Danio rerio: one gene and its partners. The protein of the gene in region 4 purifies or fractionates together with the protein of the main gene of each other region. This does not show direct contact. Links are inferred from orthologs where the notes say so. Each region holds a gene or a part of one and is shown on either strand. Other genes may lie near its edges.

What was found.
Region 1: the proteins of cdk5rap3 (region 4) and ufm1 purify together in Homo sapiens (co-immunoprecipitation; 3 studies listed by BioGRID and IntAct, with this or other methods). This does not show direct contact. The link is inferred for Danio rerio from reciprocal best matches to the Homo sapiens genes CDK5RAP3 and UFM1.
Region 2: the proteins of cdk5rap3 (region 4) and cdkn2a/b purify together in Homo sapiens (affinity purification with western blotting; 3 studies listed by BioGRID). This does not show direct contact. The link is inferred for Danio rerio from reciprocal best matches to the Homo sapiens genes CDK5RAP3 and CDKN2A.
Region 3: the proteins of cdk5rap3 (region 4) and pip4p2 purify together in Homo sapiens (affinity purification with mass spectrometry; 3 studies listed by BioGRID and IntAct, counting the BioPlex papers as one, with this or other methods). This does not show direct contact. The link is inferred for Danio rerio from reciprocal best matches to the Homo sapiens genes CDK5RAP3 and PIP4P2.

Annotation. Positions count from the first base shown.
Region 1 is NC_133185.1:30,887,724-30,892,615, forward strand, and holds the start of ufm1 (ubiquitin-fold modifier 1), read left to right. Parts: upstream 1-1,696; 5' UTR 1,697-1,727; coding exon 1,728-1,729; intron 1,730-1,817; coding exon 1,818-1,874; intron 1,875-2,569; exon of another isoform or gene 2,570-2,580; coding exon of another isoform or gene 2,581-2,733; intron 2,734-2,734; coding exon of another isoform or gene 2,735-2,844; intron 2,845-2,845; coding exon of another isoform or gene 2,846-3,158; exon of another isoform or gene 3,159-3,195; intron 3,196-4,892. UniProt on the Homo sapiens protein: Ubiquitin-like modifier which can be covalently attached via an isopeptide bond to lysine residues of substrate proteins as a monomer or a lysine-linked polymer.
Region 2 is NC_133176.1:27,775,601-27,780,521, forward strand, and holds the start of cdkn2a/b (cyclin-dependent kinase inhibitor 2A), read right to left. Parts: upstream 3,315-4,921; 5' UTR 3,053-3,314; coding exon 2,927-3,052; intron 1,269-2,926; coding exon 1,017-1,268; 3' UTR 1-1,016. UniProt on the Homo sapiens protein: Acts as a negative regulator of the proliferation of normal cells by interacting strongly with CDK4 and CDK6. This inhibits their ability to interact with cyclins D and to phosphorylate the retinoblastoma protein.
Region 3 is NC_133194.1:33,869,986-33,874,244, forward strand, and holds part of pip4p2 (type 2 phosphatidylinositol 4,5-bisphosphate 4-phosphatase), read left to right. Parts: intron 1-2,818; coding exon 2,819-2,967; intron 2,968-4,259. UniProt on the Homo sapiens protein: Catalyzes the hydrolysis of phosphatidylinositol-4,5-bisphosphate (PtdIns-4,5-P2) to phosphatidylinositol-4-phosphate (PtdIns-4-P).
Region 4 is NC_133187.1:30,656,555-30,661,383, forward strand, and holds the start of cdk5rap3 (CDK5 regulatory subunit-associated protein 3), read left to right. Parts: upstream 1-1,630; 5' UTR 1,631-1,729; coding exon 1,730-1,735; intron 1,736-1,980; coding exon 1,981-2,026; intron 2,027-2,206; coding exon 2,207-2,338; intron 2,339-2,415; coding exon 2,416-2,516; intron 2,517-3,080; coding exon 3,081-3,129; intron 3,130-3,226; coding exon 3,227-3,405; intron 3,406-3,479; coding exon 3,480-3,616; intron 3,617-3,703; coding exon 3,704-3,848; intron 3,849-3,963; coding exon 3,964-4,077; intron 4,078-4,158; coding exon 4,159-4,240; intron 4,241-4,829. UniProt on the Homo sapiens protein: Substrate adapter of E3 ligase complexes mediating ufmylation, the covalent attachment of the ubiquitin-like modifier UFM1 to substrate proteins, and which is involved in various processes, such as ribosome recycling and reticulophagy (also called ER-phagy).

The DNA of each region.
Region 1 (4,892 bases), on a different chromosome or scaffold from region 4:
CAAACTTCCTGTGTGGAGCTGCAGTCTGAGCGTGGGAGGCTGGAGAATGCTGAACGTCTATCGTGGAGAACTGCAGGTGTGAGTAGGTCACCAGCGGGTAATCGGGCTGGCCCACTGGATCTTGCGAAGACTTGTCTGTCACTTTTATCTTTCAGGAATCAGTCTTCATAGTGTGTATTAACGAGCTGCAAAAATGGAGTGTTATAAATGAGAATAGTAGTTATATAAACAAACATGAAAACAAACATGTTAAGCATACAGTATGGGTGCTTATAACAAGATGTCTAGTGCATGGCGAAGCAGTGGTACAGTAGGTATTGCTGTCGCCTCACAGCAAGAAGGTCGCTGGTTCAATCCTCGGCTCAGTTGGCGTTTCTGTGAAAAGTTTGCATGTTCTCTCTGCGTTCGTGTGGGTTTCCTATATGTGCTCTGGTTTCCTCCACAGTCCAAAGACATGTGGTACAGGTGATTTGGTGAATTGTTAAGCTAAATTGTCTGTAGTGTATGAGTGTTTGTGGATGTTTCCCAGAGATGGGTTGTGGCTTGAAGGACATCTGCTGCGTAAAAACGTGCTAGATAAGTTGGTGGTTCATTCTGCTGTGGCGACCCCAGATAAATAAAGGGACTAAGCTGACAAGAAAATGAATGTGTAGAGCATTAAAACAAGAGGAGTGTGTCCTACAGGTGGTTGTCACACACTCATGCATCATACCATTATGCGATGCATTGTGTGTATGCTTTACTAAACAGATAGGTCTTTAATCTAGTTTTGAACTAAGAGAGTGTGTCTGAGCCTCGGACATCATCAGGAAGGCTATTTCAGAGTTTAGTAGCCAAATGAGAAGGCTCAATCTCCTCCAGAAGCTTTGAGCTCTTATAGAATGGGTTGGATTGTAGCGAGATTGCTTAGATAAACAGGAGCTAGATTATTAAAAGCTTTATCGGTTAGAAGCAATATTTTATAATCAATGCTGAACTGATAAGGAACAGACAGCCAGTGTAATGGACAATAAAATTGGGGTGATATAATATTTTCTAGGCCTGGTAAGAACTTTGGCAGCTGCATTTTGCAGTAACTGAAGTTGCATTTAATACAAATTTAAGTTTCCAGTATTTCTAATCTATGTAATGGTTCATTATTTGGACTTATTTAAGCTTTGGTTCCCTCTAATAATTCTAACGCATGTAATGAAATATCTAATCTATTCAATATAATGTTTTGGCTATTTTTATCTTTCTAAAGTTCACTTGTAAACGTTTATATGTAATACAAGCGCACTTTCACCTTAAAACATTTTACTTATGTTCTCTCTACCCCTTTAAAAAAAATTAATAATAATTTTAAAGAATGTCTATGGTGTGCAAATACTTCTTGCTGTGTTTGCAATTCTGCTTTTCTTTATTTTCCAGCTCTCATTGCTTACACTCATTCCCCGGTGCATTAACAACATGTTTTACGGTATGTCCATCTTGGGGACGCTTGAAATATGCCTGAGTGAAATGCGCATAACGCATTATATTATTTTTTATTATCTCATATTTTTACACTTTGCTAAAATACATTAATATAATCCAAGTCGTTAAATATAGCTTTAGCCCATTAATAAAGGATAAATTAAGAAAAACGGAAAAGAGAGGTCCATCAAACGGATGACGTGTTACAGCGGGTCCCTGGGTCTTCCGGGTCAGTGTAAACAGTGTGCGGATCTCTCATACAAACCTGTAAAATGTAAGTAAAGACGTTTATCTTGTAACAGCACATTATTTTTTGTTATGTAATGTCTATAATCTGTTAATAAACTCTCTGTATGCATCAGGTCGAAAGTAACGTTTAAAATCACGCTGACGTCGGACCCGCGGTTACCATATAAAGTGTGAGTGACACATCATTCAACATGTTACACACCATCAATATTAACATTCCCCATTTATTTGTTTCATTCGCCTTGATTTGCTAAATGCTGTTGGTTTTACTAGGAACGTTTGTGATCATGTGGCAAGACTGTATTGTTTGGGGAGCTGACTTTTTCCTTACTTTCTTAATTCGTATATTAATTTATTCATAAATCTTTTTAATAAACGCGTGATCTATTAAATAACAATGACCCAACTGATTAATTAAATATACATGAACGGTATTAATGTTTTTAGCACAGTGTAAGCTCAGGAATGAGTCACTCCATGGTAAAATATGTCATGTTTTTATGTATAGAACCATATATTTCCCCATGTTAACTTATCACAGTGCATCAAGAGAACTGTTTTGTGTTACAGGTTAGTTAGGTGTGCAGACATTTTAATATAACTTCATAAAACTCAGATCAATATTCTTGTTTCATTTTGTTAATGCATTTAAGGCTGTATTGTATATATATTCTTTACTGACATTTGCATTACAGTATAATTCAGAACATGCATTCAGCAAGTAAATATGTCGCCATATGTTGGAGAATAAAATGTTATATTATTAAATGTTAAAGGAACAAACCCCTCTTTGTAAATAACACCTTGAAAAAAATAGTGTGCATAAAAGTATTTAGCATTTACTAAGCAGCGAGATTTCCCCCTCAATCTGCGAGAATGAAGACCATTCTCAGTAAGCAGACAGTGGACACCCCAGACAATGTCATGCTGTCCCTCAAGGGCCGCACAGTTACCATTTAGGGACCCAGTACTGTTCTCTACCAGTAGTTCAACCACATTAACCTGGAACTCAGTCTGTTGGGCAAGAAACAGAAAAAAGCTGCGTGTGGATAAGTGGTGGGTTAAAAGAAAAGAGTTGGCCACAGTCCGCAGCATCTGCAGTCATGTCCAGAACATGATCAAGGGGGTCAACCTGGGCTTTCAAAATACTATCTGTATATGACCATTTTCCCATTAATGTGGTCATCCAAGAGTCTGGCTCACTGATGGAGATCAGAAACTTCTTGGGAGAGAAGTGCATCCACCATGTCCGCATGAGGCAAGGAGTTGTGTGTGCAGTGTCTGCCACTCAAAAAGATGAGTTGGTTTTGGAGGATAATTACATGTAGCTGGTATCAAACTCAACTGCTCTGATCTAGCAGGCCACCACTGTGAGAAAGAAAGACATCTGAAAGTTCCTGGATGGGATTTATGTCAGCGAGAAGGGCACAGTGGTGGAACAGCAAGAGGACTAAATTAGTCTCTGTAAAATCTGTCAATAAAGACAATTCCATTTTTTTAGTAAAATAAAAAAAATTACTCTGTAGTGAAATTAACCGTTATAATGTAACAAGGAATTGGAAGTAATTCATTTTTAAAAAGGGATGTTTTTTCTCCTCTTTAATTCATACTTGGACATAATATAATATAATATAATATAATATGAAAATCAATCTTTTGTTTACAGCAATGTTTAAATTTTCTGCTTTATGAATGAACATAAATTTTAAAAAGAAAGCTTTTTCTTTATCATAAATATAATGTGATTCTTATTTGGCATAAAATTAAAGTTAGCAGTCAAACAGCGCATTTCAAACATTACAATTATACATCCCTGATGAACATTTCCAAAATTTCTCATATTTGAAGTGAATGCTGCAAAATAATGTCTTAAATAATGGTTCTCTTAAATAATTTAATCAAATAAAACATACAATATATGGTCAGTGAGGCAGTTCGTCAATAATTATGTGGAATTTTCATGTTTGTGCTGCTGAACTGAATTTCTGCCTAAAAAATAAAAATTATATTTCCATTTTGAGAACAGGGTTCCTGCGGGGTCTTAAATTTCAAAAACAAGCTTTTAGGCCCTAAAAAGTCTTAAATTCACTGACATATTGTGCTGTAGATCTTAAATCATTTTAAAAAGGTCTTAATTTTCATCTGTCCAAGTAAAGCTACCCAATCGAAATGACATCCATCAACAATTCATCTCAATGAAACTTTTATTTTTTATATATATATATATATATATATATATATATATATATATATATATATATATATATATATATATATATATATTTTTTTTTTTTTTTTTTTTATTTATTTATTTTTTTTTATTTTTGCAAAAAGATCCAATTTACAAGCTGTTTGACTTTTTTTTTTTACAGCAATTTCTCTTCATTAAATTCTCAATTTGGACCAAAATTCAACAAATGCATATTTTGGATTATTTATGTCACTGTCTAAACAAATTAACTTTTAACAATGTAAAACTTATAGTTTAAAAAAGTGTATACAACAAAAGTTTTCTTGTTTTGACACTAAATATTGCACTAAGAAATAATAACATTATTCATTTATCTATTTATTTATTTTTGTGGCAACCAACCGGGCCATTATTAAAAAAAAATTACTAATGTTTAGCCCTGTAAAAGTCTAAAATTTATGTTGTAATGGGCTTAAAAGGGTCTTAAAAAGTCTTACATTTGAATTTAAGAAACCTGCAGAAACTCTGGAGAAAACAACCTTTATAAAGATGTGCGCTGTGACTCAAATCTACAGATGCAAATAGATCAAATATAATAAAAGAATCGCTTAAATGTTTGTTCTTTCCACTAATCCTAAAAGATGACATTTTATGGAAGCAAAGCAGTGAGAAATCTTCAAATTGGTCAGTGCATGAAGCAGAAGGTCATGTCTTCCCTTGTGACAGTTGCTCTTAGTCTGTTTACAGTATTGATCGCAATCACTGCTGTGGTCTGTAATAATCTATAGATGTCATACTGTGTCTGACGGGTCGGCAGATGCACATGCTAAGTGGGTGAGATTGCTCTGTCAAGGGCCATTCAAACAGACTGATTTACCAACTTGGCTCTAAACACCCGCATTGTTGATATACAGTTGAGGTCAGAATTATTAGCTCCCCTTTTAATTTTTTATTTTTTTTTAAATATTTCCCAAATTATGTTTAACAGAGCAAGGGA
Region 2 (4,921 bases), on a different chromosome or scaffold from region 4:
GTTTTTCTAGAATGAAGAACAAAGTGCGTATTTGTAACAAACTTGGATACAAATGTGAGGGGGACAAAAATGCAGGAGTGATTTTTTTTGGACAAGCGTTACCTGCTTCGTTTCCTTTGCATCTACACCGTTTTCTTTTACATCGACGCCTTATTTAACTTTTCTGTCTGTTTTTTTCCTCTCTCTGCCTTTCTAAAAAAATAGAGATTTTAATACACTTTCCTGCACTTAGTTAAACGAGTTATGCATGTAAAATGAAGCGCCTCGTTTTCTATTAGGCTATATATAGTTTTTTAAGGTTAAACTCTTAATTAACATACGGGTTTAGTTTGCACCGGGTATTTGAGTAGCCAGAAAAAAAGAAACAATTATCAATTCAACACTACAGTACAGTTAAGAATAAAGGCTAACAAACATCCCGCACAAACTAAATGTTTCTTTTGTCAGTTAACCCACACAGTTTAACCACACAGAGCTAACAAACAGCTAACCACGTTAAGCAAAATTATTTAAATTATGCCTTGGTATAAATAGAAAGTTTCATTTTTATTAGTCGTACAATATTATAAACTTAATAAAAGCATGTTTAACCGGAAGAAATGAAAAAAGAAAGAGCTCGCCAAAAATATTGGATGTCCTTGCGTTGCAAGCCATTTGATTCAATGTTTGTCGCCATGCTTTTCAGGTTAAAAACAAATAGGTGGATATGTTATTTAATTATTTATTTATCTTTGGACATAATGCTGTCTACACTTTTTATTATGCGAACTATAGGCTAGCATGAGCGTATGATGGTTTGTGTCTGTAGCCTTTTATTGAAGTTCCCATTGACTAGCTAATAATAAATAATAATAATAAATAAACTTAAAAGATACAGAAATAAAATTTTAAATGATTAGAATCTCCAAACTACATGAATGACCATGTGCTATTGAGAATTATAAGTACTTGAGTGCATTAATAAGGTTACCACCTAAAGTAGCCTAGGCTATGCAGTGATGCAGTCTTTAAACATTTTAAACACGATTGAGTAATTCAACCACGTCTACGTTGCCAGTCTGTTGTGCCACATCCACTGGTCGTAAATCGCAGTGATCTTTTGTATTGGGGTCGGCGCCGAAGCGGATTAAAAGCCGCACGGTGTCAATGAATCCGGTTCTGGCAGCGTCGTGCAGAGGTGTGCTCCCTGTGTCGGGGTCAGGCACATTAGGGTCCGCTCCCTGTTCCAGCAGCACAAGAGCCAAAGGTGCGTTACCCATCATCATCACCTGGAGAGGGGGAAAATTGCTGTCTCATGAAAAAATAAACGCCAGTAACGTCATGATGTCACTGTAAAGAAGTTTGTTTAATCAATAATTTTACTGCCATCACTCGAAATCTGGAAAGTAGATACTTTTTGGTTAAATAGGAACGAAAGCAGTGCACATGCTGGCACTGAACATTGCTGTGCATGATGCATTACTCTTTTAGCCTATCAATAAATTATTCACGGGCAGTAAATCAATTAAATGCAACAAATTGTGTTGTAGCTAATTCTTATTTTTCATATGATTAATTATGAAGATTCCTATAATCATTTTAAATAAAATGTATGCCATAAATATGCTTTGTTCACATTTGTGATTTTCTTAAACATCTTTCGTTTAATTGACATTTTTCTGAGGCAATTCATGCTCGTCAGAAGTTTTACAATTGCCTAATCTTTTACGATTTCTGGATGTATGCTGTCCATCTGTTTAAAGTGTGCTAAAAGATATCTATACGCACTTTATTGTAGGCTACCTCTTCGGCTTTTGATGTCCCGTAACCGAGAGCATGAACCGTAAAACCATTGGACATTGTGAAAATTAGATGAAAACTTTCACACCAAATATTATAATAATAGGCCTACACGATTATAAAAACAAGCAAAAATAAGTATGGTCTAAAATATATACTCCATTAGTCTATGACTGTGCTAGTGGTGGCTGATTATTTTGGTCAATATAGGCCAACTGTACAAATGTCAAAATATTAAACGTACATTCGTAAAAACAAGCATGGCAATAAGAGGAAAAGGGTTTTCGCAGTGATGCCCTTCTGGTTCCGCACAGAAAACCTATTACAAAGCTTCCAAAAGAAGTATTTTTATTGTCAAAAAATGAAATAAACATTTTAATAGTTTAAAGGCACATTTTTCAAAAATTTTCTCCATAGATGCAAAAGGTTCTTCTTAAAACCATCGATGCCAACAAAGCTTTCGGGAGTGAATTAGCAAGTAGTGTGCCATTCTTCTCGCACATAGAGATATGATTTAATAGTTTAAAATTTATCTGAAATTAAGATCTATAAAATGTCTTATTTATTTATTGTTATGTATATAAATCTATCTATCTATCTCTTATATATAATTGTAAACATTTGGTTTTTATACACAGTTATAGTACATTGGGACTTTCGTTTTCAATAAGATTTTAGTTTTCTTTGAATAATTTGAACTTTGACAATACATCCAAAACTCCTTGTCTTATTTCGGACTAATTTCTAAGAATGTAGCTATAAGTTAAAATTATAATGTTAAAATTAATGACATTACTAAAAGATAGAAAGTGTTGTTAGTATTATATAGGTTGATAACACGCTATTGGTAAACATGTTTCAGGCCGTTTAAGTAGCCTAAAAGGTTCTTAAACATGCTAAAATGAGTAAAATAAATACACAAATAGCCTAATATTTAAAAAAAAAAAAGAAAAGTAAATCCCATATAGTCAAACAGGTGTGAAAATATGAAATAGCCTAAATTTGTTAAATAATATGACCTTTAATACAAAATAAGTCTTTGAATTGTATGTTACTAATTTAATGTTACATATCTGCAATTAATCTTATTTATTTATTTGCATTTGTTTATTTCCGTTGTTTATTCTTAAAGCGCGTCTAAACCTACCTGTATAGGCGTTCTTCTAAATTTGTTAACCACATTGGCATTCACTCCGTTAGAAAGTAAAAACTGAACATGGGAAATGTTTCCGGTGGCTGCTGCTGTGGTCAGTTCATCCTCGACGTTCATCATCTTTATTGATTTTCGAAATTAATTCGCTTCACAGGTAAAACCAAATGATGATGATACTGCGAAAACAATCAGTTCAACGCTGTAATTTATTTTTATCGGTCTCCATGAATAACATGTTCCAATATAATGCGTAAATAAGCGAAACTGACTCGTTTATCAAAGTGTTGTGTCTTAAAATAATTTTTCGTAGCGAGATATTTGTTCGGACTTGTCTCTGTCATAAACGTCACAGCAAAACCGTGGTGCAGTACTGTCATACTGCGCCTGCGCACAACAGCTGAGTCAGGAAGACATGAGTTTACGACACAGTAGGAGAGGCTGCAGAGAAACAGAAATTAGGTTCTGCTAATGTTTTATGGCTAATGTAACTGGCATTAGCCTGCTTTTAGATCACAAGAAGTTTTTTTATTCTTTTTTTCGGGTACATAAGCATATCACAACGCTAATTATGCTAACATAATTGGGTTTTGTGCCATGGAGAAGTTACTCTTCGGGAATAGGCTAACGTTACCAGGAAAAATCTCTCGTTTTTCAAGAGTAAAGTTATTTTATGGATTTTGATTAAGACGCGATGTTAGCTAGGCCTGTAGAGATTAAGTTTGACTTGGCTACTTTAAAGTATATTATTTAGCCATTATGCTGTGTGGGGCGCTTAAGTTAAACTATATTTTTGATCCACATAAATTATAACAAAAAAGCATATACATACATTCGTGGTAGCCTATATTTATATTTTTTTCATAATGGTTGTTCTGTTTTTGATTGTAGATGAACATAAATCTATTTTCTGCACGATAGAAAGGACGCGAATGGCCATAATTTTGCCCAAACATCGTCTGACTTACAGTTTTGTAATGCTATTTCCCCATCACACGACTGTAGCTAAACTATAGCCTGTATCCAGAAACAAGGTATTAAACAATTGTAGCAAATAGTTTTTAATTTTAGCAGTGAGTTTGTTGCCTCTCTAATACGTTGAAAATAAGTAAAAAGATAAAGGGTCCTGTGGCTGTGTAGATCATTTACATAAAGTAAAAATCACATTCTGAGATGCACCTGTTTAAAATGAAGAACAGTGTGCTTTTGTATTTAATTTTCTAACTTATTCATGTTTTGATGTTGTTAACATGTTAATAATATTGGTTAATGTGCATGCAAAATAGATACTAAAATATGAAATAGTAAATAAAATAATCATAACAAACCAACGCAGTACAATATTAAAGAAAAAAAATAGTTGGCAAAGCCCCACTGGCTAAGTGTTAATAATAGAAAATTTAATTTAAATGTCATAGAAGCAACGATTAAAAATGAATTATTTTACTTAGTTTTGTTGAATAGATATTAAACAACATGTAGAAATAGAATAGTTGAACTATGTAACTAAAAGATATCCTGCACAAAGTTTACTTCACAACTCCAGTAAATAGGCATGAGCATTTTAATATTTAATACCACAGTTGAAATTCCTACATTAAAAGGGGGAAAAAAGAAGTTTTGATTTGATTTATTTATTTTGGATCAAAAATATACATAAAATATCATAAAAAAATAAAATAAAATAAAAAACATTTTCGAAAATGGACTGGGATGAAGCACAAGCCTATTATTTTCCCACCCCGTTACCACATACTTCATTCGTCTATTACTTAAACCTATTTCTTCTTTCACTCATCTCTTTTTTTTACATGAGACATATTTTATCCTTTTGGCATCTTTGACATGTTTAAATCCATTTGTACCTTTACATTTTGTAACATAGACCTAAAAAAAAAACAAAAAAAAAACATAGTACTGCAAATAGCCATTAATTAAAGTTTCATCATACCATTTTCAATCACCTTCATCATTATATTCCTTTTATAATAT
Region 3 (4,259 bases), on a different chromosome or scaffold from region 4:
ATATGGCTGCCGTATGACTGTCACCAACGTGATCGCACAAAATATGAAGTGACGGTCAGTAGGAGGAACATGTTTCAATTTCAATGAGCATAAGCAGCAGGCTGAGCTCTGTTGTGACTGAGCTCTGGATTTGAGTAATTCTGAAGGCGCGAGTAGACTGAGTGCAGGGATTGGCTAAAGGCCCAGATACTGTACTGTAGATGAAAGTGTGAATAGGCTGCACTTATTGTTGAACACAGTGAATCTGCATTTATTTGGATGAGGATTGCCAGCAAGAAGACACATATATAATAGAAACGTTACATATATTTTGTCTTGGCATTGGCCTAAAAGACAAAACGCTAGATGTCTAGATGACTTTGATTCATTTTTATGGCTCTGTGATTGAGAAAAAGGATTCTCCTTGGTTTTTATATGGCTTATTGGTCAATTGTGGCATTCAAAGTCAAAGATTTTTGTGTAATGACCGCTAAATTCTTGTGAACTGCTCTTCTTTCATGTCTCTATTATTCCTCTGTGGTTTCTTTCTTCTCACATAATTGAGTTATTTAAACTCAAATCAATATTTCATGCTCTTTCAATTATGTATTTGATAAATAGCCATGCAATAGAGGAATAATACATGGAATAATAGAACTGAGCTGGTCATCATGGCAAAATTAGCCTCTTAAACAAAACCCAGTCACCCTGTCTGGGGTTATTTTGCAATAATGGCCAGCTGAATGTACGTTAACAATCCAATACTTGCACTACTCAAGCCAGTTTATACTTTACTTCTATAAAGTTAAAAAAGTCACACATGGATAGGGTCTTTTATGCAGACAATAAGCAGATAATGATACAAAGTGTGGGTTTATGGATTGAACTCCACTCTAAAAAAATATTGTTTAGACCAGTAGTTCTCAAACTTTTTTCACCAAGTACCACCTCAGGAAAACTTGTCTCTTCAAGTACCACCATAATGACTGGTATTGAAATACATAGTAAGCCTAATTAAGCGGCTACTGCACAGTTCACAAATGTGGCAGATTGATTATTATTATTATGAATATTTATTATTGTCAGCCACTTTAAACATAATAAATACATAATAAATATGTGATAAATAAAAATGTGATTTTAAAAGTTAATTAAAAATAGCACTGTTCTTAAAAAGTTCAAAGAAATCTGCTGTACTTAAATGTAAAGTATTATCATAAACAATTACAGGTGGGCCCCACGCGGGCTAGCCAATGTGGTTGGATATAGGGCATGTGCCCCAGTAAAAATCTATGATCATAAATAATTACAGGTGGGGCCCATGATAACAGATGTCATAAGTTATTTCATAGAGTGTAGCTGATTTATTTATGCAGTAGTATTATTAAAGTAAAAAAATATTTTAAAGTCAACATTACATAGACACAATAATAGTTTGTTTTTCACTGTTGTGAAGTAAATCCCAGTGACAACATCTCGAACATGAGAAAATGTACTTGATTTTGTAACTTTTTCAGTAGTACTGGATTTGAAAATATTTTTCCCATTGTTTTTTATCTTAGATCTTTTGATTAAAGTGTTATGATTAAAGTGTTATGAGCCACAAACCAAACCAACCAACTGTATGGTGAATCACAACATTATGAATTTCATTTGAAGCAAAGAAACATATAAAAACATGATAAAAACAAAAGTACAAGACTTGACAACCTAATAGAGGCAAAGAACTACAATCCCATGAAGTTATGCAAATGTTACAATTTAAAATGATTGGAGAACTATACAATTGTTCATTTAAAGTCGTTGGTTGTATCCATCATGTTTCAAGCATGCTTCATGGGAGTGGGTGGAGCTGAGTTTGCAATGCACTTTGCTACCTGCACCTCTCTGATTGGTAGAAATTGTCAAAGTTAATATGCAAATTTGAGCAGAAAAAAATACACCATGTTGTACACTACATCATGTTAATAAATTCTACTATTATTTCTTTATAGAGCACTGATAGGAAAACCCTGCATACTCACCGGGAAAAAATCTGGAGTCTTACAAGACCTGTCAAACTAGGCCTGGGGGTTATTAGATCTTTGAACTTTAAATGACTTTTTTATTTGATTGTAATCACTGTCAATAACCATATATGATTCCTCAAAAACTTTTCTTAGTCAGAAAGTTACAGCAAGCAAAGTGCACAAAATGAGAGATTGCTTTAAAATAAGTTGAATTCATGTGAACATATACAGTCGATTAACAACCTCTGCATGTCTTTAAAGTTTTTCGGTTATTGTTAAAAACTACAATTTCTAATTATTTTTTTACTATTATGTTCATAACCTGACTTTTGCATTCTGTAGGGAATTTTGTTGTTTTAAATAATTGTCAATGTCATGTGACCATGAATGTTCATCAATTTTGTCCTAACGATTGATTATTAAACAAATGATTTTAAAAGGAGATTTGTTGTTATTAATTTTTTGCACTGTTATATTTTATTCTAACTTACATGATACATGATGTTTTCAGAGCAAATTAGAGATTTCTGTAATTCTATGTAAAAATGTTTTTGCTCAAGGAAGATACTCACCAGTTGATGGTCATATAAATAAGTGTGTCCTTGTTTTATCATTAACTGTGTGTGAAAGATTAAGGGTCTTTAACATAAAACCAGTAAATGTTTCTGAGCATTATGCACATAAATCATTGCTTGTCTTTTGTTTATGTGCTCAAACCTATCATATGTGAAACCTATACTGCACAGCAAATAACTACTATCAGACAATTGATCTATTATTGTGACAGGTCAGCTGAAAGACTGTATTTTGTTTTTTGTCTTCATCTGCAGCTGAATTACCTCCGCCCTACACAGCCATTGCCAGTCCAGATGCAGGAGGAGTGCCAGTCATCAACTGTCGAGTGTGCCAATCTCTTATAACTCTGGATGGCAAACTCCATCAGCATGTGGTGAAGTGCACCGTCTGTAATGAGGCCACGGTAAGAGAACCTGACTGCAGATAGCGCTTAGTCATGCACTCCTTTAGTCCACCATCTTTCTCTTTGATTTAATAACCAAAAGCTTTTGCCACCTCACTTATTTTTTTGCATGTTCTCACACTTTAAAAGTTCTGATCATCCAACAAATTTAGTCAAAATTAAGTCAAAGAAAACACAAATAAACACTTCATGCAGTTTTTAGTTTTTAAATAAAGGCTTTTTTATTAAGGGAAAACAAAATAAAAAACTACTTAGCCCTATGTTTAAAAGTGTTTCCACTATTACACCCCCCCCCCACACACACACACACAACCCTCACCTGTTTAAACATAACTTAACTCTGGTTTATTACACCTGAGTTCAATTTTTAGGCTTGATTATGGCTACACCTGTTCGAAGTCAAGAAATCACCTAAAATAGGACCTGCCTGACAAAGTGATGTAGACCAAAAGATCCTCAAAAATTAGACATCATGCAGAGATCTAAAGAAAACTCAAAAACAAGTTAAGAAAAAAATATTGAGATCTAGAAAGATTTGGGACTATAGCAAACCACAGTGAGAGCTATTATCTACTAATGGCAAAAACGTAGGACAGTATAGAATTTTCCCAGGAGTGGTCGGCCACCAAAATGACCTGCGACATCTCTTCCAAAAGGTTAGAAAAGAAGAATCCAAAGAACTGCAGGCCTCACTTGCCTCAGTTAAGGTGAGTGTTCATGACTCTACCATAAGAAAGAGACTGGGCAAAAAGTGTTTGCATGGCAGAGTTTCAAGACAAAAACCACTGCTGAGCAAAAAGAACACAAAGGTTCGTCTCAGTTTTGGGAAACACTTTGGGGAAAATATTTTGTGGACTGATGAGACAAAACTTTTGAACGGTTTGTGTCCTATTATGTGTGGCATAAAAGTAGCACTGCATTTCAGAAAAAGAACATCATACCAAGAGTAAAATGTGGTTGTGGTAGAGTGATGGTCTGTGGCGGTTTTGCTGCTTCAGGACCTGAAAGACTTGCTGTGATAAATGGAACCATGAATTCTGCTGTGTACAGAAATATCCTGAAGGACAATTTCTGGCCATTTGTTAGTGACCTCAGGCTGAAGCAAATTTGGGTTCAGCAGTAGGACAATGATCCAAAGCACACCAGCAAGTCCACTTTTTAATGGCTGAAGAAAAGTAAAATGAAGACTTTGGAGTGGCCTACTCAAAGTCCTGACCTGAATCCAGTTGAGATGCTGTGGCATGACCTAAAAATGCGGTTCATGTTTGAAAGCCCTCCAATGTGGCTGAAGT
Region 4 (4,829 bases):
CTGGTGATCAAAAAAATTTATGTCAAGCCCTGTTAGTAATGATTACAAAATATAATGTTGTCTAATAAATATGTTGTACCGAACCAGCGTCTGATAAACACTACTATTTATGGAATGTTTATTGGGGCGTCAAAATGCAGGGTTTTTTATTATCCAATTTTGTGTCAAATATGGACAAATTAATAAACTATTAATCAATAAACTATTTATGTTTAAAAAAATTGACAGAAGTCTTTATATAAACTTTTATTGCAAAACATTACCAGCTCCTAGTGAAATAAGTGTGTAAATGAATAAGTACTGGTAATTACTATGTATTAGTATGAATATGTTACTAATGAAAAATACTATCTGTCTGCAGACGCTTATTTAATATTTACGTGTAATGAATATGCATGTAATGGAAAAGTAGTTTGTTATGAATAACAAGAAGTAATACCTATACTTACAATAATGTTAAGATGCTTGTCAGCCTAGTTTTAAAAAAAATAAGTAGGCCTGAAATGATGTCTGTAGGTTTATAAATTGAGTGTTAAAACAGCTTGCCATCAAGGCAGACACATAATAGAGATAAGATTTGCTGTGAACTGGCAAACAGAAAAATCTATAAAACCACCTTGTTCAAATATAACCGAGTAAGAGCTGGCTGTTTAACATAAATGTACATACACATAAAGTGTACATTATAAATTGTGCAAGCAGAAATAAGCACAAAAGTACGATAAAATGATGCTATTCATTGATATTTACTGTCCATTGGCAGGTCTATATGAAATAAAATGCCTACTTATATTTTGTGTCAAGCTAATAAAAAAAGAAGTTGCGCCATCTTGTGGACAATTCTACTTAGCTGTCTCTGATAATAGCCTATATTAAAAAATAACATTTATTTCAGGCAGGCTACTGCGAATAAAAGTGAAATTCGGGGATTAAAATGTATTTATTTGGGTTACTTAATTTTTATGTTATGTTTTTGTTATGCTAACGATGAAAGCATTTGATTGGAGACTGGAGAGTAGGCTATTCATATGTAAATTATAACTTAATAGTTTTGAGTTTTTGTAGCAATTTGAGATGAGTTATGGGCTATAGTGAGTTTGAATATGCTCGTTTGACGAGTGTTCAATTTAAACCCTGATAATTCGTGTTTAAAATACAATTAATTAGCCATTCTCTTTTTACCAAATTTGTAAATTGTCTATAAGTACATCTATTTTTAATGTCGCAAATATATTTGTGTTTATTATTTATTTATTTATTTATTTATTTATTTATGTATTTATTTATTTATTTATTTATTTATTTATTTTTAATCAATCTACATCAATGTTTCTCCAACAAAGGTCGGAGACCTCGCAAAACAATCTTGTTTATTCATATTTTATGAATTTGATAACAAATATTTCTGTTAATGTAAAAAGAAACAAACCCTTTAAACTACAAAACGAGCCTTTAAAAGGGCGAATAAAATGTGAAGAAAAAAACAGTTGGTGTTGACTTTTATTTTGGCGTTACAAGGAAGTAAATACAGGTTCTTCTATCCTTGCAGTTTATTGGTGTTTCAGCACAAGGATCGTTTGACGCATTAGTGTCATGTCCGTTGATTGGCCAGATGTGGATGTACGTGTCAGTGGAAATGTAAACTTGTGCTGAATCCTGTCGAATTGCTGTACAAGCATGGGGTCGTTTTAGTAATTCTTTTAACAAAATAACGACAGCAACGTTTGCAATGGAGGTAAAACAATAACATTATTAATATCATTATAAATTAAGTCATTTTTTTTTATCAGACTTCGTACTCTTTGGGTAAAGAAAACTCATCATGTTTAAAGACTCTGACAAGCTGTCATAACTGGATGACTGTTATTTTATTAATAAACATACACTTTTTCAATAATTCCATAATAATGTGTGAAAAGTTGATGTGACTGTTGTTAGCATGTATAATGTACATTTATTATTAAAAATCTCGTTTAACAGAACATCCAGAATCTCCCTATTGACATCCAAACCAGTAAACTCTTGGGTGAGACTGCTTTATACTCATTTGTGCAGGTTTAACTTAGACTTATTATCATGCGATTTGTAGCTATATTGTTAGCTAAATGTGGCTCAGCTTGAATAAACAACAGCTTAGATCTTGCACAGATGTAATGTCTTATTCCTCTTCTTCTACTTTTTCCTCTTCCTCTCCTCTATATTTTAGACTGGTTGGTGGACCGAAGACACTGCACACTGAAATGGCAAAGTGCAGTTATGACCATCAGAGAGAAAATTAACGCTGCCATTCAGGATATGCCAGAAAACGAAGAGATCAAACAGCTGCTCTCCGGCTCATGTAAAGAAAAAGTTATATATTCCTGTTATTTGTATTTTATTTAATTTTGGATGTACTCATACTGAATTTTGTTGCAGATATTCACCATTTCCATTGCTTACAAATAATCGAAGTATTAAAAGGAACGGAAGCGTCCACCAAAAATATTTTTGGCAGATATTCATCACAAAGGATGAAGGTGCTGTTTATTTGCATTTTAATGTGCAGTTTATTACACTTAAAATTGTACATAGTCTACATACTTATTATTGCTAATAAAATATCCTTACTTTCTATCACATATACTATGGAAAATAAAAACATGAGACCGCTTAAAAATTCTCAGTGTCTCTGGATTTACAATTTAAAGTTGTATGACTGGGGAAAAACCTAATTTTCATTTTATTCTGTAAACTACTAATAGCTTTTATACCATAATAGCGATATTTTAAATTCAGCAGAGTTAAGGAATAAGTATTTCTATGTTGTGTTTTTTTCTCTTTGTACTATTTAGAAGAAATGCTGTCAGTTTACTCAAACCCATAACTAAAAATGGCAAAACTCCAGAGAAGCAAAGAATGTTTAAGTGGCCCTTAATGTTTCCATTCATGTATATTTATCAACTCTGAAGTCTGAACTTTACTAAACTTCTATCTTAAGCTGCTTTGACACAATCTACATTGTAAAACCACTATATAAATAAACATGAATTGAATTGAATATTTACATATATTTAATTAACTGTAATATACTTCATCAACAGGACTGGCAAGAGATAGTGTCCATGTATGAAAAAGACAATGTCTATTTGGGTAAGCAATCATCAAATCACCATCACCAAATTTTTTTAAATTTTAGACTACACAATCAAAGTGAGATGATAGTATGCATGTGTGTTTTTAATTCCAGCTGAAATGGCCAGTATTTTGGTTCGTAATGTAAGTTATGAAGGGCCAGCTTTAAGGAAGCAGGTGTCTAAAGCTCAACAGCTGCAGCAGGAGCTGAGCCGACGTGAGCTGGAGTGTCAGAGCGGTTCTGCCGACATGAGAGAACGCTATTATGCTGCCTGTAAACAGTACGGCATAAAAGTGAGCTATGATTGTCATTTATTGTAACATAATGGCTTTTACACATACTAACAAATAACATTTGTGTTTCACAGGGGGAAAACGTGGCAAGGGAGTTGCAAGCACAGGTTAAAGATCTGCCTGTGGTTTTAGAAGAAACTGGAAAAAAAGCTGCCTGTCTGAAAGATGCCATAGAGTTTTACACAGCATTCACTAAGTTTGTCAGCGACTGGCAAGTGTTACTTTCATTTCTAATGTTGCACCTGATTCTTTTAATCGATATTGTGAAATGTTTGTCATAGTTTACTTGCTTTTTCAGGTCGGAGGAAGTACTGCCCTTACTGAGGTTTGTCCAGAAGAAAGGAAACACAACTGTATATGAGAGAAAGACTGGAAATGTGCCTAAAGTTGTAGAGAGACCTGTAATGGAGGAAGCACCCCCAGATGTTGTTACAGAGGAGACGGTAAGTCACTATTCAAGATTTTAAGTTTTTTTTTTTTTTTTTTACATAGGACTTAAACAAAGGATCAGTATTGTCTCTCCCTCCAGAATCTCACTGTTTTTCTTGGTTCTTGCAGATTGACTGGGGTGATCTTGGCAGCGGTGCTGGTACTGGTAGTGAAGAGGTAAATTTTGGGATTTCTGTTGAGGATGGTGTGGATTGGGGTATCGGTCTTGAGTCTGGTACTGAGGTAAGCACCCTAAATATTTACTACAGATATATTCAGACCCCTCAAGACATAGAATTAAAAGGGTCTTCCAATCTACTTTAGGAAACAAGTGGTGGTGGTATTAACTGGGGAGACTCTGAATCTGCCCCATTGGAAATTGAAGTTGTGGATGTGGGCACAGACTGTAAGTTTCCTTGGGTGTTTAAAGTTTGTTCATTGAGCAGCAAATTAATAATGAAAGAATTCAGCTTTGGCATTACATATCAAAATGTATGATTTTTTTTTTACTTTGAATTGAAATTATATTACACTACTATTGCTTTCATAGTTTTTGAAATACTGTGAATTAGAGAAAAAAGTTTCAAAAACCTTTTAAAATATTACAAATTGCTAACCGTAGTGCATGTTTACATGAAAATAATTTTGAGTTTCTGTCCTTGATAATAAAATAAATCTGTTATTATAAATTAATAAATCCCAAAGAATAGTATTTAATTGATTTTCAATTTAGTAAATTAGTAGAATCAGTTAAAACTAGGCATATATGTAATCAGAACTTGGAAGACATTTAAGTCTATTGTGCAAAATATTGCATTGTCTAAAATAGGGCTGCAATATATCGTTTCAGCATCGATATTCAGCATCGTTTCAACATCGATATCGTTTCAGCATCACAGTGAGATCATTCGCAAAAGTCACTTCGCAGCATATGCAATATTGCATTATTATTATAATTATTATAATTGATCATTTGCATGTGTTTATGATGCCAA